Linked DNA regions of Mus musculus. The protein of the gene in region 6 interacts with the protein of the main gene of each other region in a biochemical or structural test. Links are inferred from orthologs where the notes say so. Each region holds a gene or a part of one and is shown on either strand. Other genes may lie near its edges.

Region 1 (3,500 bases), on a different chromosome or scaffold from region 6:
CACAACAGCTAGACCTTTGTGCTTCCCTCGCGGGCCATCCCTGCCCTCCTCACCTCACAGGCAAACAGCTTGAACTGCAGCCCCAGGATCTTGTAGTCTATCAGCTGGTTCCCACGAAGCTGCGTCAAGGCCTCTTTAAGGTCTTTGATAGCAAGGTCGTACCTGCAGGACAGGAGGAGAAGAGAGCTGGTCCCATGCAGGTCATGGAGAGAGAAATGCAGAGCCCACGTCAAGAAGCCCTCCTGCTCTGTTTGACCTTCTCCCTTTTCTCCAACCCTGAGCGCAAAGACTTTTACAGACTATGTATGACTTTTGCACACTGGGGCTAACCAGCACAGCTTGTGGGGACCTTCCGTCTATGACAGCAATGTAGATTATTCTTCTCTAAGTGTTGTATGCATAGTTCCCACCTTTCTGATGACCTGAGTGACCTTCAAACACAGCTCTCAGCCTCACTGGAGAGCTCCAAGCAGAACCACCCTGCTTCTCTCTGGAAGAGTCTCAAAGCAGTCCCCACCACCCTCGCTCAAGGACAGATCTGCCTGGCCACAGCTGCCAGGGGTTCCTCGTTACAGCTATAGCTGTGGGTACCATCCTCCTGCCTAGAGCCTGTTGTGTCTTCTGTTGAGTCCAGTTTGAGGTTTGTGGCCTCTTGCCCCCTCCACACAGTCTGGGGAAGAGGGAGACGTTATCTCAGGTCTGTAAAGAATGAGAAGGTAGGCTTCCTGGACCCCTGTCTGTAAGCACAGGCTGTGTGTGGCTGTCTGGTCCCCTGAAGCAAGGAGAGGGCAGGTGGAGGGTGCAGGTGTCCTGTTCTATGAGCAGATACAATTCCCACTGTGTTCCACAGCCTGTTTGGGAGCAGGGACAATCTCAGAGGGGACACTTTAAGTGTCATCAGCACTAACAGTACAATCGTGTCTTGCTCCCTGCAGAGTTGGCTGAGCAGGTGGTTTTCAGCTGTGGCGATGCCCTGAGTCTACCTGGCACTGTAGGGACTCAGCAAAGTTCTCCGTGCAATTCTCTGTCTCATCAAGATGTCCACAATGTTTTGTTTTGTTTTGTTTTAGAAAAAGGACAAGTTACCCAGAGTGCTTGTTTTGTAAGAAGGAGCTGGTGGATGGGGCAGCTCTGCTAACGTATTGCCCATTTGTTAATGTTGTTATGTTGAAATAGGGTCTGATGTATCCAAAGCTGGTGTTAAACTCAATGTGTAACCTGGGATGACCTTGAAGTTCTGGTCCTTCTGCGTCTACCTCTTGAATGCTGGATTGTACCCAGTGTATGATGGGGGAATCAAGTGAGCTAAGCTTGCTTCTTGCAAGCTAGGCAAGCGCTACCAACTGAGCTACACCCCCAGCCCCGATGTCCATTGCACGAATCATTTGCCTGGCTTCCCTCCTCACCCCCCCCCCCCCCCCCCCGCGCTTGTGACCTCAGCAGCGCCCAGGGCAAGCGGCTCGGCTTTAACATACAGCTCTGGATCCCACTGCACAGGTCTGAGTAGGACCAGTTTTGAAAGAGGTCCAGCCCTTCTGGCTGGCCCCCTTCCAAGTGCCCTCCTCTACCATCTGGAGGCTTCCTAAGACATCTGCCGAGAAACAGCCACACCCCCAGAGCAGGCAGGCTCTTGGCTCCAGAGTACTTTTACTTGGCGTTTCTGTCACCAACCCCATAGGGACCCCTTGGTAACCTCTGAAGCTGCTGTTTGCCTTCTGCTACCAACACACACACAGTCTAGAGTCCCAGAGCTCACAGACTGGAATAAGTGAGAGGGAGGAGTCGAAACAGGCCGCACCCCCAGCATGCTGCCCCTGGTGGTCAGGGCCAATCCTCTCAGCCCAGCAGGAAGAAGGCTTTACCTCCTCCCCTTTCTAGACCAGCTCCGCCCTATTCTGAAAGGTCTCACCCTGCTTTTATTTCCACAGCCTGAAGATCCAGGAGGCTCATTGTGTGAATGATAACTTACAGTGCCTCCCCACTCCCTCCCCCCGCCCCCCACATACCCTGCTCCCTTTTTTGGGTTGACAAGGTCGGGACAGGGAAGTTTGATGGGAGGGAGAGAGTCATCTTGAGCTACCATCTGCTGCTTGGGAAACGCTTCTGACTTTGTTCTGCTAGAATTTAAGACAAGCAACACTGAAGCCGGGTGAGTGAGTGGTCTGGTCGAGGGGACAAACCCTCCTTGGTAGGAATGACCCTGTTAAGACAAGCCCCAGTGCAATGGAAAGGAATGCCTAACCCATTCAATATCAACTCACCTCTCTAGGTCACTGTGCACTTCCAATCTGCTTGGGGCCCAACTTTGCTTTACACCACAGTCACAGACTTAGTTCCCCCTTTTAATCTACACCTTCCTGGAAGTAGACATTTGTCTACTTCGTTTAATACTCATAATTAATTCAACACATATGGGTGTGATAGTTTGAATGGAATTGGCCCCCATAGACCATACAAATAGAGAATATGACTATTAGAAGGTGTGGGCTTGTTAGAGGAAGAGGGTCACTGTGGGGGTGGGGCTTGAGGTCTCATATGCTCAAGACATGCCCAGTGGCTCAGTCACCTCCTGCTGCCTATAGATCAAGATGTAGATGGTATGATGTTTGCCTGGACTCTGCCATGCTTCTCACCATGACAATAATGGACTAGACCTCTGAAACTGTATGCCAGCCTGATTAAATGTTGCCTTGAGGGCTGGAGCGGTAGCTCAGTGGTTAAGAGCACTGGCTGCTCTTTCCAGCAACCACATGGTGGCTCACAACCATCTGTAATGGGATCTGATGCCCTCTTCTGGTGTGTCTGAAGACAGCTACAGTGTACTCACATAAAATAAATAGTTGATTTGGTCATAGTGTTTCTTCACAGCAATGAAACCCTATGTAAGACTCAGTTGTAAAGCTTTTATTCCTCAAGCATGAGACCTGTGCTCAGATCTCAAGGACTCACGTAACAAAGGCCAAGCATGGTGGTTGGAGAAATGGCTTAGTGGTTAAGAGTGGTATCTGCTCTCACTGAAGACTGCGGTTTGATTCCAAGCACTCACATGGTGGCTCATATCCATCCATAGCCCCAGTCCGAGGGGATCTGGTACAAGCTCTGGACTCCATGGGCCTCAGGCATGCACATGCTACACATTCATTCCTGCAGGTAAAACACTTGCACACAGGGAGGACAGGGTGCAGATAGGCTTTGGCTTTTACCTTTCTCCCCCTGCTAAAAACCCTTGGGTTCAGTTCCTAAAGCTAGCCCCAAGGTCTATTTCCTTATTTGGCCACTTCCTCCTCCTGAGGCTGACTACCAGGGTCCAGCTATTAAAGCCCCCCCCTTTTGGCTAATTAACAAGCCCAACCAAAACAAAACAACCCACCCTAACTCAGGGGTTCCCCTTTACCTTTATAAAGTGCCATTTGCCTATGGGCCACATCCATCTCCTCTCTATCCAGAGGCAGTCCTTTGCCCCTCTGGGGCAAACATCCCTTCCCCCTTTCACTTGTTCC
Region 2 (3,500 bases), on a different chromosome or scaffold from region 6:
CATCTAACTGAATTTCCTCCACAGCACCTTCCATTAAGACATTTAATCAACACAGAGCTTAAGTCTCAGAGGATTCTTTCATTATGGAGTTCTCATACTAAACAGCCAAAACAAACATTAGTAGTATTTCAGAGTATCATCAGATGGGAGATCACTATTCAATGATGCTAAATCAAAAGGCAAAGTTGCAGAGTGGGCAAAGTGCAGAAGGAGGGAGTGTGGCTATTCTAAAATGCAGGAACCTCAAAGGAAGTTAAAAGAGAAATCACTACCAATATCTGGCATCAAAATGCATTCCTAATGTCCAGCATATTAATAGCACTAATGTATTTATAAACTCTCCCAGGTCTTTCAGGATTATCAAAAATGCTGGAGAGGCTGACCACTACATAATATAAAACAAAAGAATAAAATCTCTGGCAATTTACTGCTTCCTAAGAAACTGGAATAATTTATTTTATTCTGAAAGTGAAATGCACCATTCTATATACCTAACCAGTAAAGAAAAGGGTAGGTAAACCAAGGTTAGACTGATATAAACACCAATTACCTAGAGAACTTTAGGAATAACTGAAATAACAAGCACACCACATCTCTTTAGTCATGTAGAAAGTGGTCCAGCTGGGCACAGTAGTGCATGCCTGTAATCTTAGCACTTGGGAGAGTGAGGCAGAAGGATCACTATGAATCAAGACCATTCACATGAGAGGGGGAAAAAAAGTAGTTCAATGACTTCACCAGTGCCAGTCTATGGACCCCTATGCACCAGTCTTAGTACCACTACCTCCCTAGCTTCTGCCACCCCTTATGTGAATAAATCGTATAGCCTTCAAGATCCCCAGAGACTCACAGATTTTGTGTGTTCTGGGCGTGGAGCAATCACTGGAGGTGGGGTAGCATCGTCATCATCATCTTCATCTTCTGACACTGGTGGTACTGCTGGGGTCTCAGACACAGTCTTCACATTCTATGCAGAAAGGACAAAAATCAACCGGTCCAGTGGACATAGAACTCCAGATCCCAGGTCTGCTAGTTCTTTAGAAGGTAGTCAATTCTGACACCTCTTCTGAAAGGTCATCAACCAAGGCTCTCCATCTTTGTGCAGTCAGCTGTCTCACTCAGACAGCTTCCTTCTCTCTTAGCCATCACTATCTATTCACTCTGAAAGCTTCCTTTTCCCATCTAAAGACTAAAGAGTAGTAAGCCAGCTTATAGTTTCCTTACCTGCCTTATACAATCAAATACTCAAAGCCATGTTCAGGTTCTCCTTATTCTGTGAATTTTACTCTTTATAAAGAGCAGAAAATAAGTGTAAAGAGGAAAATAAAAAGTATTTAATTTTCTATACTTTATCACTGTGATTATTTGTTCTTAATATAGTAACTTAAAGTCTAAATAGCACCCCCACTTCCTTTCTCCAAACTCCTGAACCTATTATATTATAGGGTATGGCTGTGGCAGACCCTGTGGGTTTCCCCGAGCTTCAGTCCTGCCTCAGGATGAACTTTACTGCACCACTAGTTAGATCTGCAAATGATCTGCAGCAACTTGATTTTCCCATGCAAACTGTAATAAAGCTAGACAAAAATAACCAGACTCAAGATAAGTGGATCTAAAACATGAGTAGTTGTTCTTATTGTTATTGTTTTAGTAGTAGGACCAGAAAGGCAATATGGATTTTTCAGATAAATGGACATAAATTTCACATATTTTCAGAGTGCCTAGAATACTGTGGTGGATTCTGTCAACATCAAAGGCATAAAAATGAAAAAAGATGGTCCAAGTTCTGAAGTAGGTCACCATCACTAGACAGAGCCAGAGGGTGAGGCCCTCTCCTGCCTACCACCTGAAGCTCCTGAGAAAGGAAAGCCAAGAATCCCAACAAGTGACAAGTTGAAGAATCCAGAAAGACTGAACATTTGATACACTAAAGAAAGCGCAATCTCAAACAATAAAAACACATCATAATAGAGCACAAAACTTGACAGTGTCAAGCACGTATAAGCACCAAGTTATGACCACCATAGGCAGTACATCATCCTCTAAAATATTATGAGGAAATGTGAAACAAGAGTTATATAATTTGAGGGGAAAGGAGGAAAAATGAGGGGAAGGGAAGAGGAAGGAAGGAGAGTGGTAGGTTACATTATACGATGCTATCTCAAGAAAAAAAAATGTAAATGAAACAACAGAGACCAGAAGGCAATAGGATGATATAATCTAGAGCCAACATTTTAAAAACTTAACAATCACAAAATCTATATACAATAAAACTACCTTTAAAAAATGGAGATGAGGGTTGGAGAGATATATCAACAACTAAGAACATCTGCCACGGAACCCAGCAACCTGAGTTTGATCTCAGGGACCCAAAGGGTGGAAGGAAAGAACTATCTCCTGAAAATGGTCCTCTACCACTGCCCCCAACACACACACATGGGCATGTGCACACCCCCTCAAATAGAACTAAAGAAATAAAATTATTTAATAAAGATGAACACATTTGGGGTTAAAAAAATAAACCAGAGAATGTTAGCATATCTTACTTGCAACTAGTGAGGTTTTATGTGTGTGTGTGTGTGTGTGTGTGTGTATGATTATATACAGAGAGAGTCATTCTACTAGACTCAAAATAACATCAAATGGTAACTCAAATCCATCAGCCAAAATGAAGAGCACAAGAAATAGTAAATATATAAATAAATATTTGGGCTGGAGAGATGGCTCAATAGTTAAGAGTCCCGACTGCTCTTCCAGAGGTCCTGAGTTCAATTACTAGCAACCATATGGTGGCTCACAACCATCCATGATGAGATCTGATGCCTCCTTCTGGTGTGTCTGAAGAGAGCAATAGTGTACTCACATACATTAAATAAATAAATAAATCTTTAAAAAAGAAAAAAGAAATATTCAACAAATATACATTTTTAGATTTCTTGTTGCTATTTTATTATATATAATATATAACATGTATCATATAAATAAGTATATTGTTTATTTATACATAATACACACATATGTATATTATATATGTACTATATGCATAAATTATGTAGAAATAACATATTATATATGTTAATATTATATAGAATGTAATATAACATTATTATATACAATTCATATTATATATGATATTATATACATGTTATATACAGATATAATATATACACATATATTCATTTGTTTGAGACAGATCTCTCTACATAGCCCTCGCTGTCCTAGAACTTGCTATGTAGACCAGAGATGTTCAAACTCACATAGATCTGCCTGCCTCTGCTTCCTGATTGCTAAGATTAAAGGTACCCAACAAATCTTGTTGCTTTTTTTTTCTCCATTTTTTATTAGGTATTTAGCTCATTTACATTTCCAATGCTATACCAAAAGTCCCCCATACCCACCCACCCCCACTCCCCTACCCACCCACTCCCCCTTTTTGGCCCTGGCGTTCCCCTGTACTGGGGCATACAAAGTTTGCGTGTCCAATGGGCCTCTCTTTCCAG
Region 3 (3,500 bases), on a different chromosome or scaffold from region 6:
CATCCTTAGGACAAAGGTCTCCTGGGTCCCCCCTCCCTCTGGCCCTCATGCCTCTCTGATAGTGAGCCATCTGCAGTGAGATGTTCAAAGGTCACCAGAATTAGCCCCACAAAGCCATGCCACCACCCTGTCTCCCCACCCTCAAGCCCACCACTGGCGCCTGCTACATCATCACAGGGCTTTTGTATCTACAGATACAAAGATGTGAGTGTGTAAGTGTGTGGTGTGTTTCTGTGTTTCTCTCCTGCTAAATTGGTTTCCAGCTCTCCACTGCTTCTGAGACTACCACCCAAACACACACGTACAATGTTCTGTCAGTGCCACAGTCAACAGGTGAGTCTGATAGACGGAGTCTGAAAGAGATTCCTAGTCTGAAATATGTTCCGTGCACAATGATACTCACACTCCTGATTTCCTTTTATTTTCTCCGAGACCGTTCTGCAACAAAAGGAAAAGGAAGCTGTTTCAGATGAGGAGAGCCATCGTCTTAGTTTGGGAGCTGGCCCCGTGACCAGGTTCCTTACATCAGCTTCCTAGGTCGGCCATTTCTCTGAGTCGCTACCAACGCTTACTGCAGGATTGCCAAGCAGCTGTGGCATGCCATCAAATGGCCATTTGGAGGTGCACTTTCCTCATCGCTAGGGGAATGAAGCATCTTTTCCCACTCGCTGCCCACTTAGGTGTAGCACATCCCTTCAGACCATATCTGTTCTACTGGATCAACTGTCTTTTTCTTACAGACTTGTAGTTCTTAGTAAATAGATGGATTTTTACAACAAATTGCCTGATTTTTAAGTTTAGTTCTGATTCTAAGTAGGGGTGGAACTACACCAAATATTATTCAGTTGAATGGACAAGGAAAAAGAAAGTAGAAACGTTAAAAAGAACAAAGGTAAGGGCCAGGAGAGAGTTCAGTAGCAGAACTTGGCTAGAATACCTATTTATAGCTAGAATTTGAATCCCAGCACAGGGAAGGATGCAAGGAGGGAGGAGTAGGGGTAGGGGATGGAGAGTGTGAAGGAAAGAGGAGAGGGAGGAAGGGAGAGAAGGAGAGAGGGAAGGAGGGAGGGGGGAAAGAGGAAAGGAGGAAGGGAGAGAGGAAAGGGAAGAAGGGAAAAGAAAAAGGAAGGAAGGAAGGGAGGGAGGGAGGGAGGGAGGGAGGGAGGGAGGGTTACAAAGTGGGTGGGAAAGGATGGGGGAGAGTGGGGAAGAATTTTGTCCTTGAAGAAGAGAAGTTAATATGAATGAAAGTTAATAAAGAGAACAGAAAAGAGGCAATGACTGTTAATATCATGATCTAGTAAGGACATGAAACTGAAATGTAAAACTTATGAAATGATCATAATCATATGGAAAGATCACATCTAAGTGAGGAGAGAAAGGGAAATGGGAAACTTCAAGGCTGGTATCCTACCGTAAACACGTTCTCTGAGGAAAAACTTCCAGGTGCTGACTGGGAAACACTACAAGAAAAGGGGAACCTTGATGAATTCAGTCTGGTGGGGAGGGGGGGATCAGGACCCACAGCCTCAGACATGCCACACCCTCAGCCTGCCCAGCACTGTTGCCACCCAAGCTCACCCATTACTTGTCATAGACGAGCTGCTGGAAAAGCCACTGAATGTAGATGTGACAACGCTAGAGGATGTTCCGGCAGTTTTCTGAAAGAAGGGACAGCCCTTAGCATGTTCACAGGGTGCTAACTGGTCTCCCTGAGGCAGTCCATCACTGTTCACAGGGAGCTAACTGGCCTCTCTGAGGAGGTCTGTCACTGGGTACACACTACTGCACATACTCTCCCCGTGGCCACCAACTCCACAATTGCAATCACAAAATTAACACATTTTTTCATGGACGTTTGGGCTAAGTTTTAAAAAGCAACCCCGAGTTGCTATAGAACTTTTATGTCTCAGACCCTCGTGGCCCCATGGTTCGTGGATCATTGTTGGTACACAGGATGGAGGGACCATTCTTTACTCAATAGGCATATGCCCGCAGTATAAAGACAAAGCAATCTGAAGTCAATTTCAAAGGGAATCATGATTGTACAAATTAAATCTAACTGGCAACACATACCGGCGGGCTCTTTAACAGCTTCTGATAGGCTTCTTTCGCAGCCAACTGCTTTGCCTCCTGTTTGGTGACACCTGAACCAGTACCATACATTGTCTGCCCAATTTTGCATTTACAAATAAATCTAGGAAAAATTAGAGTATTCATTCACATATCAAAAATATCGTCCATCTAATGCACACTTTGAAAAGGCCCCTACAGACAAATAAAGGCCTGAAAATCAGACTAAGAATTTTTTTTATTTAGATTTATATTTCCTACCTCACATAATTTAATCCCCACAAAATGGCCATCAATCTAATGTAAATAACCAGGAGTAGCTTATATCCTTGTCTACATTTCCCAGGCAACATCTAAGTCTTTCTTGCCTCATTGAAAGACCTGACAGCAAAACACCAAGTGATGATTTAAAACAAAAACAAAAACAAAAAACCAAATGGAATCTTTCCAATCCCAAGTAGAGGGAAGAGAAGAGGGAAAGGTCTAGCACCTTTTCCAGAGCTGTTCAAATAGGAGAGAAAAACAGTTGGTAGGATGGGGCTCACAGGGGCTAAGCTCTGAGGGTACAGTACTGTGGCCTTTGGGGAAGACAGCACACTGACAATGTGCTCAGGACCTCCAGGTTCTAACCCTTGTTCACACAGCATATCCCTCACAACTGCGCTCTTCACACAGTAGGACTAAGACCGGTCCTGCTGATCCATGCTATCCGTTTATCCAAATGTGAGGAGCAGAGACTCAAGACAAGCAGCTCTCTAACCGAAACTGATATAGAGTCGTTTCCATGTACAGACAGAATGGTTCTTACACAGTTGCAGCTGCTGTGGCCTCAGGGAAGGGAAGAGCTCTTCGTCCCTGATCCATGGGCATCCTGAACTTTTTAAAAAAGTTTAGTGGACTAATTGCCCAGATGCACCTCCAAAAACCAGCAGTCCCCTCTTATTGGCAGGGGGCTGGCGGATGACTGAAACCATGGATTACATTGAACTCATTGTTCTCCTTAAACATTCCTATGATAAAGTTCATCTCATAGCCTAGATAGAAAAAGACTAACAGCCAATAATAAAATAGAACTATTAGTGCAGTATGCCCTACTTCTAGGTTTTTGAAATGGTCTTCCTCCATCTGGTTGACCAAAGATAACTGAAATTTCAAAGTAAACCAGCCAAATTGGATTGTGATAGACTCCGCAGCCTCAAACTTTTTATTTTTTTAATTTTCAAATTTATTTTTTATTTTGTGTGCATTGGTTTTTGCCTGCATGTATGTCTGTGTGGGAACGTCAGATCTTACAGTTACATACAGTTGTGAGCTGCCCTGTGGGTGCTGGGAATTGAACCTGGGTCCTCTGGAAGAGCAGTCAGTGGATGGTTGAGAAACACCAGTAGAATAGTAGGCATTTTATGTACTCCCAATCCCGTTTCTGC
Region 4 (4,107 bases), on a different chromosome or scaffold from region 6:
TTTAAGAGATTTTTTTTAATTGGCCTGGTTGAATCTGCTACTTGTTCTCTGGGAAGCATAGTGTATTTAAAAATACAATTTTTCGGTTCTTAATGAAAAAAATCAGTGGGATTCTAGTTAGAAAGACAGCCTTTATGAAATCAGACTGAAACAATGGTGGTAATAATAATAATAATAATAATAATAATAAGTAGTAGTAGTACTAGTAATAAATTGGCACAATTTTTCTAAGGGCTTTTAGGTTGGGAACTGTATTGCCACCCATTGGATAAATGCTATGTCTAAATGGGCAAAGGACTTGTGAAAGTTTTATGGCTTGGTTAAAAACCTTAGGGTGATATAGGTTAAAGAGATTTTATCCCCAATGCTGTTGAATAGCAGGAAGTTTATAAGTGGAAAAGGGCAGCTTTTGTGAACATGTCAGACATAAAACAAAACACCACATTAAAGGGAAGACTGGAGCGCAGATAGGGCCGCCTGGCTCCAGGGAGCCGTTCTGCAATCATGGTCACAGCTTTCTATGCATCTTGGACCCCATTTAAATTCACAATAAAAACCAAGAAAGCAAATGTACACCAGGTACTTTACTCTCGACACCTTTCTAGGTGCCCTGAAGATAGGAGGCAGACTTTCAGGGTGCAGATTAGGGGGGTGGGAAGGAGCTCATCTTACTTCATGTCTTCAGGGGGCTGCCACAGCCTCGGCACCATGTTCCAATCATGGAATTCAGAATGCAAATCTCTAGCAGATGAGACGGCTGGAAAACAGAAACTGCCACAGACCCAGAAGGCTTCCAAAGTTCTCCTCTAAACATCATCTGAGAGCCCAGGGGCTGTGAGCCCCGAGACTGGTAGCCCCGTCTTCCAACCATGGGTGAGGCCTCCTGGAAAACCTAGGCACTTCCAGATGGACTGTCAACCATTCCTTGAATATAGATCTTAATCCTTTATCTCACACGTTACATCGCTAGACATTTCATAACGGCCTTATGGCCGAGTCCTTCATTCTGAAAAAGGTGTTTGTGTATACTGACATCTAAACTGTCCATCAAATCACAGTGGTGGAGGTATCTACAACTGTCCAGAAGTTGTACTCCCTAGCTCAGTTGTTAGTTGAAAGATCTTTTATAAGTCAGACCATTACAGGAGTCTTTTAATGGACTTAGGGGTGCCCCTGGGGCATCCTGGCTGCTTCCTGGGGAGGCTTATTTCTCCCTGTGATGTTAAGGGGGAGTTCCCAAGTCTGGGTCTACTATTAAAGCAGGGACATCTGCTACCCTCCTAATATTTTCAAGGCGGCACCCCTCCTCCACCCCCTCCCAGAACTCGAGGATACTGGGAGGGCTACAAGCTGCCAGGGTGAGGAAGCAGCAGAAGGAATCTTTGTCTCCCCAACACATCCATCAGTTCCCTCCCCAGAGCCCCCACTACACACTGCACACAATCAGCAGCCCACTCCCCGCAAACGCACCAAGGCTGCAAAGATTCAGGCTCCAGTCCCTGCCTGACATTCCTCTTCCCACCCTCCTTTTAATTCACTCACTTTTTTTTTTTTAAACAAAATGTAATTACTTGACTGTCAGCCGGGGCTGCACTCTGGGGCTTTAACTCCTTTCAACACAGATGTGCGCCCAGCTTTGATGCCGCTGTACTCGCAGCTTGTCCCAGCCACAGCCGGCTCGGTAATGTAACATTCAAGTGCATATTTATTTTTAAACTGACCTCTCCTAGACGGTGCAGTATAAAGCAGGTCCTGCCAAAAAATATGCTACTTTCTATTTATAAGATGAAACACATGCCTTCCCTCCCAAAGGCGAGAGCGGGGTGGAGTATAATAATTCATAAAGAAAAAAACTGACTGGCCGGATCCATTCGTCCTCGCATGGCTGTGTCAAGATACTTAGTGAGAAGGAAGAGAAAAGAAGAGGAAGAAGAGCAATAGCAGGAGGAAGAGGAGGAGGAGAGGCAGGAGGAGAAGGAGAGGGGAAGGAGGAGGAAGAGGGAGTAAAGATCTTGTAAACGCTTCAGTTGTTCAGAAACCGCAGTCGAGAAAGAAAAAAAAAATTTTTTTCCCCCAACTGCCAGATCTGCAGGTTGGAGCCTCAGCTACAATGTGCTGCCTCTGTCAGTTCGGAAACTGCCAAGCTGCGCGGTGCACTCTCGCGCCGCGCCGCATCGGTGCAAACACACAACTAGAGGGCCGCGGTAGCCAAGTGCGGTTTGTTCTGCTGGAAAAACGCAACACGCGCCCAGAATGGCTGTCAATGGCCTGGAGGGGGCCGTGCTGACTGCAGCCCCACCCTAAAGAAGTAGGTGGCAGAGCTCCGCGTCCTGATCCCCCCTCCCGGACGTCAAGCATGATGTCCCCTTTGATCCTCTAAACATCAGCTCAACCAGGCGGTGCGGTAGATTATCCTCGCACCCTCTAAGTCTTCCAAGGCCACCATCTGCACTAGCTGGAAGGGGGCTTAGGTTGAGGGTCGGACAGTCTTACAGGTGGAGAGACAGCCTGGGTCACACACTCACCAGCAGTCTCTAAGGCTCCTAGCTTCTGCCCGGAGGGCCGGGCGTCGGCCCGGGTCGCCTCCCGAGGGCGCAACAGTCCTCGCTGGTGCGCGCAGAACCAGAGGGGCGGCAACGGTTCACCGCAGAATCTGCTCCGGGACTGCGCGCGGCGTCTCCCGGGAGGCAGCCGCTGCGGAACTGGGTTGTCGGTGAGCGTCCCGCTGCTGTGCTCCCAGCGGCAGTTGGAAGCGCCCGCGACACTGTGCGCGCGGCTGCCGGACGCCGGGCCTCAACCTGCCGAGGGCGGGGCGCAGGACGCAGGGCGGGGCCGGCGCGGGGCGGGGCGGGGCTGTGAGGCCAGGGCAGGGCGGGGAGAAGGGTGCGGGCCGACCTGGACCGTCCCTCCGTTGTACCTGTCCCCCACCTCCCCACCACCCCCAGACCCGCAGGACTGGAGGCGAGGCTGCGGACTCTTGGAGGACAAAGGCTACCCACTGTCACCTCCCAGTTCCACCCCTTCCCAGTGGTGGCTTCTCTCAGAGGCAATGCCGGCTGGGGCTCCCTCAGGCACAAAGAAAAGTGGCGGGGTGCTCCCTTTAAAGAGGGGACCCCAGAGCGTTGCTGTCCGTACGGTGCGGGAGAACAATGGGACTCCGCCCGCACCCGGGACCCTCGTGCTCACCCTCGTGTCCCCGCCTTTCCCTGTCCTACCTAACCCACCTAGCAGTGCGGGGCTTCGCAGCGGAGGAAGGGGACCTGCGCGGGGAAGAAGGGCCACCTGACCGGGTCGCCGCAGCGCGGCCGCAGCTCCCTGGGGACCCCCTGGCAGCTGTAGCTCTCGGGAGGGAAAAGGAGGGTCGCGTGCTGTCAACGTGCAGCCGGCTCCCCTTGCAAGCTGTCGCCAAAACCTGGAGCGCGGATCTGACGCGCGGGAGACGCGGGGTGGAGGCTGAGAGCCTGCGGGACGCAGAGAAACGCAGACGCAGCAGGTTTTTCCTGTCGGGAGGGTGACGTCTCCTCCCCCTCCAGGTCTGTCAGAGATTGACCTAAAGCTGCGGAAGCGGGTGGCGGCTCTCCGGGACGCTCTGCGAGGCGGCGCAAGTGGCGCAGCTGCTGCTGCTCCGGACCGTAAAATTCCGCCCGTGGCGACACCTGCACCTGTCGGTCACCCAGCCAGGGCCTCAGGACGACCCGCCCCTCTGTCCCTGGACCTCTGTAGGAACCCAGAGAATTAATGTTAATTGTCTTAATTGGTCGCCCTCTCTTCCTTCTCCCTTAGTCCGCCAGGTTGGAGACAGGAAAAGGTGGTGTTTTCCGGCGTTGATGTCCCCCGCCGGCTTGGTTGACCTGGAAAAGGAGCTAGAACCCCGAGTAGTCGCACGCTCCAGGTCTGGCCCCAACCCTGGGACTCTCAGGTTGCCTGGAAATCCTGGCACAAAGCAGAGCCCCTCCTGGAGACCTTGGCTTCCCTGGGCGCTATCGGGGTCATCACAAGGGTGCCCCCAATCTGAATCGCTCTGAAACCTTAGACCGGGTGCACTTTAAGCCCAGGTCCTAAACCACGGTCGACGTTAAGATGAATTTAAAAAGGAAGCGGACACAA
Region 5 (3,992 bases), on a different chromosome or scaffold from region 6:
CCTCCCAAGTGCTGGGATTAAAGGCGTGTGCCACCACTGCCCGGCTTCTATAGCTTTTCCTTTTTTTTTTCCAGATTATAATTTATTTACCAGATTTCTTTTTTCCCCCTTCCCTCCCTCCAGCCCCTCCCCCCTACCTCCCTGCTAGCCCTTCAAAGTCCTGCTGCTCTAGCTTTTGTTATGAGCAGCTAGCTTTCCCTTACTCTTCCAAAGCTTTCTTCTGGGGAGCTTTGGGCTTAGGAGAAGGGATTGGCTGGGACCTCCCATCCTTTCTCACTTGGTTCTTCAAGAGGATGTCTTGTCTTGCTGCCACCCCCCCCATTCCCCTGGTCAGTTTGTTGTTATTTTTCGTTTTAATTGCGTATGTGATGTTTTTGAGACAGGATCTTTTGTAAGTAGCCCAGACTGGCCTGGAATGGGCTATGTCGCTGGAGATAACCCTGATCCTTCAGAGTCCATCTCCTACCCAGAAGTGCACACTAGGAAAACACTCTACCAACTGATCTGTATGTTCAGATTCGACTTTGGTTATTATTTATTTTTGTGCATAACATATGTATTACAGTGCATGTAGAGGTCAGGGAACACTTATGTGGGATCAGTTCTCTTATTATACCATAACTTACACAGGGTTCCTTTAACCCAGGTTGATCCAGCAAGTGTTTTTTACCTCACAGTCTTCTCAGTAGCCCATTTCTATTTCCTCCTTTCCTTTTTAAAGCAAGTCAGGAAACTTGGGCGAGTGCAGGCTGGTGGGGGGCAGGGTGGGAGAAGGCACATTCAGGCTAGAGCTCCAGCCCTTTTGGACTAACCAGGGCTGCTTTTCTGGCATCAGCAAAGCTCTCCAACAGTGTTATCTGCAGGTGCCCACACTGTGTATCCTTACTCCACTCCTGCCCTGCCCTGAGAAGCAGGATGCAAAGGAAGAAAACTCTTGACTCCAGCTCCCACTGCCTAGAGTGAGAGGTCGGGCGGTCTCCTCCCTACACGTGCTCCAGCCTTCCCTACCCCTCCGCGGGCGTATCTGTGGGGGCTGTCCCCTCTGGTTCTCGGTGTCCCGCCCCTGATCCATCCTGTTGGAAACTAGGCGGGGACGTGGGTGTACATCCACTCCGAGCGGAGTTGCTCAACTCTCAGTAGCTGAGGTCAGAAGTGCTCTGCAGCCAGAGTCTTGAAATCTCTGCAAGTTTCTGGGCTCCCTGTCCTGGGGCTTGTTGGTCCCAGCTAGGGGGCTCTAGTCTTCTAAGCCACTGAGCTGCGTAGACTGCGACCCTTCTGGCCGCGTCTGTGCTTGCACAGACGGGCTGCTAGCGAGCCAGAGTCCGGCAGTGGCCAGTTGAGGTTGGGGTCACCAACTAGCGAGTCTGGCTTGAGGATGGCGGAAGCAGGGCCCCCTCCAGCAAGGTTCCCTCCAGCAAGGCTCCCTCCAGCAGGGTCCTCTCGGGCTGGGCTCCCTCCAACAGGGTCCCCTCCCGCTTCCACTCCGGCCCTGGCCTCGCAGTGGCTGGCGGTCAAGCGTTTGCCTAGGGCTGCCGCCAAGGCGCCCAATCTCCAGCTGAATCAGGACCACTGTTCTTTCGTGCCGTTCACGCAGGCGGTCCCGGTGCAGGTGGACATGGCCATGGCCCTGCATCGCGTTAGGATCGCGGAGAAGTACGGGAAGAACTACCTCTGCTTGCTGCAGGCAGTCTTCCTAGCAGGTGAGTACCACATCCCTGTGCACTCCCACTCAGTTGCCTGGAACACTGGGCTCTCTCCCCTCTTCCCGGCTCCCTCCTCAACCTGTTCGGGTAGGGGATGTCTGGTGCACTTTGTCTTCTCTGCTCTCTCTCTCTCAATCAACCTCTCTCTCTCTCTCTCTCTCTCTCTCTCTCTCTCTCTCTCTCTCTCTCTCTCTCTCTCCCTCCGTCTCTGTCTCACTCTCTCTTTCTCCCTCTCCTTTCCCTGCCCCCATTCACTCCATAATCCACCCCCCCTGCTGTGGCACTCCTAGTTTAGAGCCGCCCAGACTGTGGACCTCAGTTCCTCAGGCCAGCTGCCACTCTGAGGATGTGTGTGGCTCTCTGCTCAGCTCAAGCCCCGCAGGTGGACCCCCAGAAGCCCGCCATGCAAGGTGAGACTGTTCCAGGTCTCTTCCTCACTTCCCACCACCACCCACCTGGATGCCTCTTGGTGGAGTTGGGAATGTTAAGGGAGGAATCTTCCTACACCGCATTCTGTACCCTAGAGCGGAACCTTGCTGAGGAGGAGGATGCAGATGCACTTCCCTGTAACACTCCCTGTAGTTTTTAAAGCGAGGTTTATTTACTTGTGTGGGTGGTTGCTGTTTGTTTCACGTACGCGTGCTAGGGCCAAGTCAAAAAGGCGCTTGGATTCTGAAAGCCGCGGGCCTGAAGTTGGAGGAGGAGTTTGCAGGCAAACTGCGGTCAAGAATTTGGGTTTTCTCACTAGGACCGCCACTTCTTTCCAGCCTGGTCCTATGAGCTTCCTGTCTTCCTTCAGCTCTTACTACAAAGGCGAAAGGCTCTTTCTTACTTGCCTTGGAGGGACAAAACCAAAGCTAACAAATGTCTTAACTGCTGCCACTGTTTTGGTAAAAAGCTTAAGAGTAGTGAGAGGCGGCACTTGATGTATACATATTGAGCTAGTCGGAGTTGCTTGGCTTTGGACTCTTGGTGTACCGTGAAGCATGCAGAGGCTCCTAAAATTTAAAGTTCCTCTAATACCATTAGCAGTCCAGGAATATCCGCCAGGTGCTGCAGCTCTGGCCATGTCTTTTGTGCGTCTGTGGTGCTTGCTTACCCTGCGGTGTTCCTTGTAATGGGAATTTGGGAATTAAAAACTAGACATGGTGTAGTTTTTCTTTTCTCAAATCAGGTAGCCACAGTGTGTGTTCCAAATTCCTCTTCTTGTTTGAGGCTGTCCACGAATTGGAAGGAGGTCACGTCGATGACTTCGGTTAAACCACAGGAAACCCAGGGCTCTGTCTAAAGCTTGGTAACAAAGAACCCTTTGGTCTTGAGTATTTTGTTTGGAAGCGGTCAATGTTATTTTCTGTATGTAATAATAAATCATTAAGGGAAGTGTGGGAGTGGGGCACACACTTTTTCAGGGTTTCAGGGCAGTTTAAATGGATGTGGGAGGCAAAAAAAAAAAAAAAAAAAAAAAGGAAGCCTGTGCACAAGTCGTGTGCAGTGGGGGCTAAAGATCAACTTCGTAGAAAAAAAACACATAAAAAATGAAACAGTCTCACTTTGTAGCTCAGGACCAGCTCCAAATAATCCTCAGTGCTGAGAGGGCATAGGTACATCCTCATGTCTACCACCACTCATAACACATAGGCACTCACATGTACACACACACACACACACACACACACACACACACACACTTGTATGGATACGAGAGAATGAGGTGTTCTGGGGCCTGTGTGTTGGATGCTAGGCAAATGCTCTACCTCTAAGTTACAATCCTGGTGGGAAAATGCCACAAAAATGAAATACAAAGGGATGATTCTATTGCCAGGCATTTCTTTCTTTGTTCTCAGTTCATTTTCTTGATCCTTGGAAGTTTCTAACATGCTGCCACTGTGGCATGGCAATACATCCTAGCACTCTGTTGTGTTTTAGTGGAGGTGGGGGTGGGGAGAGGGATACAGTAGTGGGGTAGGGAGACTGGCAGCTATTTGTGTTCAGGTATTTTTCAGCAGTTACCACCATGTCCCTGCAAAGATAAGTATATCTGTGGCTGGGACACACCCTATAGGATATTATAACTTTATGTTGTTGTTGTTGTTGTTGTTGTTGTTGTTGAGGTGGGCATTTAAAAAACTTGCCTATGTTGCTTTTGAGCTCCTGGTTTAAAGGATGTGCTTCAACCTCTAGAGTAACCAAAATTACAGGTTTGTAACCCCGTGTACAGCTTGGGACTTATTTTGCTCTTTTCAAAAATACACTGTTTTGTTCTCTTTTTAGTGCGTATATGTGTGGGAG
Region 6 (3,500 bases):
AGCTGACCACAGAAACAGGCTACCAAGGAAGCTTTTATGTTCTATAAAGGTCAGAAATGTGCCCAGTCTCTAATTATAAACTATATTTATAGATTTAGAAATTTTATTTTGATACTAGAAGAGCAAAATCAAAATCTTAATTTTTAAATCTAAACTTAACAGAGATAAAACACAAAGTCCTAGCCAGGCGGTGGTGGCTCACACCTTTAACCCCAGCACTTGGGAGGCAGAGGCAGGTGGATTTCTGAGTTCGAGGCCAGCCTGGTCTACAAAGTGAGTTCCAGGACAGCCAGGGCTACACAGAGAAACCCTGTCTCGAAAACAAAGAAACAAACAAACAAACAAACAAAAAGCCCCACAAAGTCCTAATCTTAGGAAGCTACTAAATTATTGTCAACTGTTAAGGATAATTAAGAAATGCAAGTGAAGGGGCTGGAGAGATGGCTCAGCGGTTAAGAACACTGACTGCTCTTCTGAAGGTCCTGAGTTCAAATCCCAGCAACCACAAGGTGGCTCACAACTACCCATAATGAGATCTGACACCCTCTTCTGGAGTGTCTGAAGACAGCTACAGTGTACTTACATATAATAAATAAATAAATCTTAATAAAAAAAAAAAGAAATGCAAGTTGATAGTAACCTTATAAATAAATGATCAAATCTTTTAATGTGTCCAAAAATATATTTGAGGTTTCTCTATGAATTGACGTAATTACAAGATGAAGTTTTACTTAGCCCCTTGTTTTATGTTTGCAAGGTACAGTTTAGCGCAGATACCTGAAAACAGACAAAGATTGTTTAACTCAGATATGCTCGGTGGGTACTAGCCCTCAAGCCTGTCAGAGACCTGTTGACTATGGCATTTAATATGCTTAAACTTATTATATGACAGTGACTCCCAAATCCTAACAGTGATACACAACCCACCTCTGCAAGTTCTTCAAGAAGATATAGGCAGAATGACAAAAGACTAAACCTGGATTAGAGTACATTGACCAGTGGACAGACTGGCCCCTGCCTTGCCCACTAGGGCCCAGCCTGCACTGTGGGCAAACCGGACACGGGAAAACTTACTGCTATGATTTATTGCTAAGTGTTGCTGAAGACAAGATGAGGTCAGTCTCTCCCATGTTCCTTCTCCACAAAAAAAAAAAAGGCCTCCCTCTTCTGGCCTAATGGCCAAAGACCACCTCTGACCACAGTGCAACAGGACCACAGGAATCTGGGACAACTGTCTAGATAGTGGTCTCTGTCATTCCAGACTGCTCAGAGCACTGGAATCTCCCAACCTTAAACAGGCATCCCAGTCTTCCAGAGCTCTGACATCAATGTCCTAATTTCAACTAAGAAGCAGTTACAGAAGAGATTATGTTGCCCTTATCATAAACAAAAGGTTGAAATGTCAGGGCCAAATTCTGACAGATGGACAAAAAGCCCTCACTCCTCAGGAAGTCATTTCCTTATCACTGGCAGAAGGGACAAATTGCTACCTAGGGTGCCTATTAGCATAACCAAGTGCATGCTGACCTCCACCCACTCCTTACCCTCAACTTCTCCAGCTCAGAAGCCCCCATCCCACCCCACCCCACTCCACCTCCAGCTTCTCATTCCCTTCTATTTCAGCCCTCTCTTGGTCCTCCTCTCTCTTCTTCCTTCAAACCCCACCACCACCATGGCCAAGTCCAGTTTGCTGGCCATGTTCAGTCTATTTTCTCTCTCATCTCTGGATTCTTCCTGATGTCTTTCCTTCATATCTACAATAAAAAACCTTCCTCTCAACTATACCTTGGAATAGTCATGTCAGTTTATGTACTCTGCAGAACTACACTCACACAGTATACATTCACGGACAAATTTTTAAGGGAAAAAAGAAAGAATAAAAGGAAAGAGCCTCTGTATCCTAATGCTCAAAACAACTGACTACAGAGACATAGGTTCCAGAGCCCTCCTTACCTGTGTGAGGGCAGAGCACTCCACATACTTGACAGCCTTCAGATCCCGCGCCAGCTTTTCAGCAGTCTCTGGAGTAATAGGCTTCTGTTTGTTCTTGGCAAGTTTCTCAATAGTAGAGGGGTCATCTCTGAGATCAATTTGGGTCCCAACAAGCAAGAAAGGAGTCTTTGGACAGTGGTGAGTTATCTCAGGCACCCACTAAAAGCAAGGTTTTAAAATGTTTTGTTAATCCACAAGCCACTGAAACTGTAACAGGGCAACAGGAATTCTGTGCATGTTTCAAAGGGCAGAACCTGACTTACCTTTTCTTTCACATTTTCAAATGAGGATGGAGAGACCACTGAGAAACATACTAGAAAAACATCTGTCTGTGGATAACTTAGCGGTCGTAGTCTGTCATAATCCTCTTGCCCTAAAGAAAGAGTTAAGAGAGGTTGGCAACTGAGATTTGGTATCCTCGCGGCATTAAAATCACAGGTCAGGGGCTAAGGCTATAGCTATTTAGTATACAGAGTGATAACCTAGCACACATACAGCCTTGGACTCAAGCCCTATACCACATTAAAAACAGGCATGGTTGGCACAAGCTTATAATCTCAGCACTAGTGAGACAGAGGCAGGAAGGTTAGGTGTGACCATGAGATCATATATCAAAAAAATTGTCAAAGATGAACATGGCGGAGCTAACAAGATCACTCAGTGGTAAAGATGACATGCCTAACAACCTGAATTCAGTCCCCAGAAAACAGACGGTGAAAGGAGAAAATCAAATCCCCCAAGTTTAGCTTCTTGACCTCCACATATACATGCTATGGCATGTGCTTCCACATATATACATACATACATGTAATCTAAAAGGAAAAAAATGGAGATAGTGTGCATGCCCATAAACCCAGAGCTCAGGAAGCAGAGGCAGGAGATCACTACAAGTTTGGGTGGTCTACAAACCAAGCTCCAAGTCAGTCAAAACTACATAGTAAAAGTCTTGTTTCAAAAAAGAGGTGGGCAGGGGACTACAGCTCCGCTAAGACTTCAGGTATTCAGCTCTTAGCATATCAGCCATTAGTGACAAAGCAATTTTGCTAATCAAAGGTATAGCTTTGTAATATGCTGTTTGGACAATACTCTCTGTGCTGGTTCTATTTATATATGCCACTAAATTAAACAGCAAGGAAATTGGCATACTACTTTTTTTTAAGTTCTTTATTAATAACTTAGTAGTAATGTAACAACAATAAATCATTACTACAGGTGTAGTTTAAGAAAAAAATCATATTTACTTCTAGCTACTAAAGATCACAGTGAGACCACCTAACAAAATACTCTACTGAAGGCATCCACCATCCATAATAACTACCAGACTAAGTCCAATGCTCGATCCATAGGTGCATGTTAAAGTCAGTATCTGTAACTGGAAAGGCCTAGAAAAAAGGAACTTGGCAAGAATGAAGGAGATGTAAAAAGAATAAAATAATTAGGAGTTAGCCAGAGGTGAAAGGGTCACAAAATAAAAATGGCAAAAACTAAACATAGGAAGTCCTAAGAAA
Region 7 (2,374 bases), on a different chromosome or scaffold from region 6:
GGCCTGGTATAGCACTGGCCTAGAATCTCCCAGTGAGGGCCTGTGGATGTGGCCAGGGTGGAGCTCCAGTTTAGAATCCCCCAGTGAGGGCCTGGGGGGCTGGTCAGGGGTGGAGCTCTGTCTAGAATCCCTCAGAGTGGTCAGGGGTGGAGCTTTGCCTAGAATCCCCCAGTGAGAGTTTTGGGTGTGGCAAGGGGGGTGGAGCCCCAACCTCGAATCCCTCAGTGAGGGCCTGGGGGCTGGCTAGGGGTAGAGCTCTGCCTAGAATCCCACAGTGAGGGCCTGGGGGCTGGCTAGGGGTAGAGCTCTGCCTAGAATCTCACAGTGAGGGCCTGGGGGATGGTCAGGGGTGGATCTCTGTCTAGAATCCCCCAGTGTGGTCAGGGGTGGAGTACTAACCTAGAATCCCCCAGTGAGGAGCTGGGGTGTGGATAGAGGTGGAGCTCTGCCTAGAGTCCCCCAGTGAGGGCCAGGGAAGTGATTCAGAGACCCTGGGGGTCATGCTCCTGTCTTTTTTTCCATTTCTCAAGCAGCTCAGAAGAGCCCCCTTCAGAAGGCCAGGACACCCCCATCTATACTGAGTTCGATGAGGACTTTGAGGAGCCTGCATCCCCTATCGGCCAGTGTGTGGCTATCTACCATTTTGAAGGTGGGCCTTTAGCACAAGTTAAATGTTTCTGTTTTGACAAAGGAACTTAGTCTGAAGCCTGTAGCTCGGTGGTAGAGTGCTTGAGCGGTGTCCTTGAGGCTGTCCATTCAGTCTCCAGTATTAGCCAAAGGAAAGACCTGAGGAGTCACCTTAAGGAAGGGTTTATTTTCTTATTTGAAACCATTTTTGTGTTGTGTGTGAGAGAGGTGGGTTCCCTCCTACTGTCTATGTCCTCGGTATCAAACATGACAGCTGGCATCTTTACCCACAGAGCTGCCTCAGACTCTCAATTTTCCTTTGTATAGTACAGGACCCCAACCAGTGGGATGGTGTTGCCCATATTCATGGTGGGGCTTCCCATCTTAATTCAGACAATCTAGAAGCTCCCTCTCGGACATCCCAGAAGTTTGTCTCTGAGATTAGAAGATCCCAGGTTCCCCTTACACCAGGGGATGTAGCAGTTGCTTGGAGCCATGCCTTCTGATCAGATTCATCAAATCTGACCTGCCCCCGCTACTCCCCAACAGGATCCAGCGAGGGAACCGTCTCCATGTCCGAGGGGGAAGACCTCAGCCTGATGGAGGAAGACAAGGGTGATGGATGGACGCGGGTCAGGAGGAAACAGGGAGCTGAGGGCTACGTGCCCACCTCTTACCTCCGAGTCACACTCAACTGAACCCCACCAGAGGGGGACGAGGGGCAGGGCTGTCAGCTGCTGCTTCTGGGCCACAGGGGGGGCCCCCAGGACCTTGCACTTTATTCCTGCCCACGTGGCTTTTGGCTGAGACCTGTGTAACCTGCTGTCCCTCACTCACCTGTCACCTGTCACCCTACGGGGACCCACTTGTGGCTTCCCACGTGGTTGTACATATTTGTCATTTAAGATCTTTCTTCCCGCCGCTTGGCTTGAGCCAAGTTTTGTTTTATATTAAAAAAGTATATATAATTATATAAAGTTCTTGGAGTCTGCACCGCCAGTGTCGGGAATGGACCTTCAAAAGGCATCTCTGTGGAGAGGTGGTTTGGGAGTCGGGTTTTGGATGCTCTTGCAGAGGACCAGGAGTTGGTTTTCAAAAGCAGCTCCCAAAGCTCACAGACATCCAAGCCTAGGCCCCCTCTGGCCGACTCTGGCAGTCGCACTCATACCTGCATGTATCCTGCCCAAGTTAAAATGAGATAAAAGCTTTCTTATGAGCCCCGTGTGGAATAAATGGAGGTGAACCTCGGTGCGCTCTGGCAAGCCTGCCTTGTGCATGTTACCCATGCTTGTGATCTCCATGCTCTAGAACAGGCATGTCTACCTTCCGTTTCCCTAGAGTGCAGAGATTTCCCAGCTGCCGGGATGAGTGGTTCATACTGGAGCGTGAGTGTTGTTCTGTGGATACTTGAGTGGGTTTATTGGTAAAAAGGAGGCAGCTGTTACACCCCAGTCTCTTGGGGTCCATTTTTGTACCCCAGTCTCTTGGGGTCCATTTTTGCACCCCAGTCTCTTGGGGTCCATTTTAAGAGGAAGATTCTTATAAACTTGGACCTGGGAGGGGAGCAGAATTCAAAACAATTTCCCCATAGTTTTCATAGAGCCCAGGCTGGCCTCAAACTTATGTAGCTAAGGATGGTCTTGAACTCCTGATTCTCTCATCTGCATTTCCCAAGTGCTGGCGTGATGGATGTGGGCACCAAGTTCAGTTTGTAGCCTCTTGAATAGCTGGAGGCAGTGTCCTTGGG

The links.
Region 1: the proteins of Cdc42 (region 6) and Ncf2 form a complex in vitro, tested with the Homo sapiens proteins (2 studies listed by BioGRID and IntAct). The link is inferred for Mus musculus from reciprocal best matches to the Homo sapiens genes CDC42 and NCF2.
Region 2: the proteins of Cdc42 (region 6) and Pak1 form a complex in vitro, tested with the Homo sapiens proteins (11 studies listed by BioGRID and IntAct, with this or other methods). The link is inferred for Mus musculus from reciprocal best matches to the Homo sapiens genes CDC42 and PAK1.
Region 3: the proteins of Cdc42 (region 6) and Eif2ak2 form a complex in vitro, tested with the Homo sapiens proteins (2 studies listed by BioGRID and IntAct). The link is inferred for Mus musculus from reciprocal best matches to the Homo sapiens genes CDC42 and EIF2AK2.
Region 4: the proteins of Cdc42 (region 6) and Cdc42ep3 form a complex in vitro, tested with the Homo sapiens proteins (2 studies listed by BioGRID). The link is inferred for Mus musculus from reciprocal best matches to the Homo sapiens genes CDC42 and CDC42EP3.
Region 5: the proteins of Cdc42 (region 6) and Mcf2 form a complex in vitro, tested with the Homo sapiens proteins (2 studies listed by BioGRID). The link is inferred for Mus musculus from reciprocal best matches to the Homo sapiens genes CDC42 and MCF2.
Region 7: the proteins of Cdc42 (region 6) and Trip10 form a complex in vitro, tested with the Homo sapiens proteins (3 studies listed by BioGRID and IntAct). The link is inferred for Mus musculus from reciprocal best matches to the Homo sapiens genes CDC42 and TRIP10.

The regions. Positions count from the first base shown.
Region 1 is NC_000067.6:152,813,653-152,817,152, reverse strand, and holds part of Ncf2 (neutrophil cytosol factor 2), read right to left. Parts: intron 163-3,500; coding exon 54-162; intron 1-53. UniProt on the Homo sapiens protein: Subunit of the phagocyte NADPH oxidase complex that mediates the transfer of electrons from cytosolic NADPH to O2 to produce the superoxide anion (O2(-)).
Region 2 is NC_000073.6:97,880,939-97,884,438, reverse strand, and holds part of Pak1 (serine/threonine-protein kinase PAK 1), read right to left. Parts: intron 968-3,500; coding exon 851-967; intron 1-850. UniProt on the Homo sapiens protein: Protein kinase involved in intracellular signaling pathways downstream of integrins and receptor-type kinases that plays an important role in cytoskeleton dynamics, in cell adhesion, migration, proliferation, apoptosis, mitosis, and in vesicle-mediated transport processes.
Region 3 is NC_000083.6:78,869,073-78,872,572, forward strand, and holds part of Eif2ak2 (interferon-induced, double-stranded RNA-activated protein kinase), read right to left. Parts: intron 2,198-3,500; coding exon 2,077-2,197; intron 1,662-2,076; coding exon 1,582-1,661; intron 1,464-1,581; coding exon 1,415-1,463; intron 439-1,414; coding exon 404-438; intron 1-403.
Region 4 is NC_000083.6:79,352,292-79,356,398, forward strand, and holds the start of Cdc42ep3 (cdc42 effector protein 3), read right to left. Parts: upstream 2,801-4,107; 5' UTR 2,526-2,800; exon of another isoform or gene 2,408-2,525; intron 1-2,407.
Region 5 is NC_000086.7:60,176,290-60,180,281, reverse strand, and holds the start of Mcf2 (proto-oncogene DBL), read left to right. Parts: upstream 1-1,192; 5' UTR 1,193-1,375; coding exon 1,376-1,700; intron 1,701-3,992. UniProt on the Homo sapiens protein: Guanine nucleotide exchange factor (GEF) that modulates the Rho family of GTPases. Promotes the conversion of some member of the Rho family GTPase from the GDP-bound to the GTP-bound form. Isoform 1 exhibits no activity toward RHOA, RAC1 or CDC42.
Region 6 is NC_000070.6:137,326,760-137,330,259, forward strand, and holds part of Cdc42 (cell division control protein 42 homolog), read right to left. Parts: intron 2,366-3,500; coding exon 2,256-2,365; intron 2,152-2,255; coding exon 1,954-2,151; intron 1-1,953. UniProt on the Homo sapiens protein: Plasma membrane-associated small GTPase which cycles between an active GTP-bound and an inactive GDP-bound state. In active state binds to a variety of effector proteins to regulate cellular responses. Involved in epithelial cell polarization processes.
Region 7 is NC_000083.6:57,261,824-57,264,197, forward strand, and holds the end of Trip10 (cdc42-interacting protein 4), read left to right. Parts: intron 1-530; coding exon 531-649; intron 650-1,176; coding exon 1,177-1,325; 3' UTR 1,326-1,874; downstream 1,875-2,374. UniProt on the Homo sapiens protein: Required for translocation of GLUT4 to the plasma membrane in response to insulin signaling. Required to coordinate membrane tubulation with reorganization of the actin cytoskeleton during endocytosis.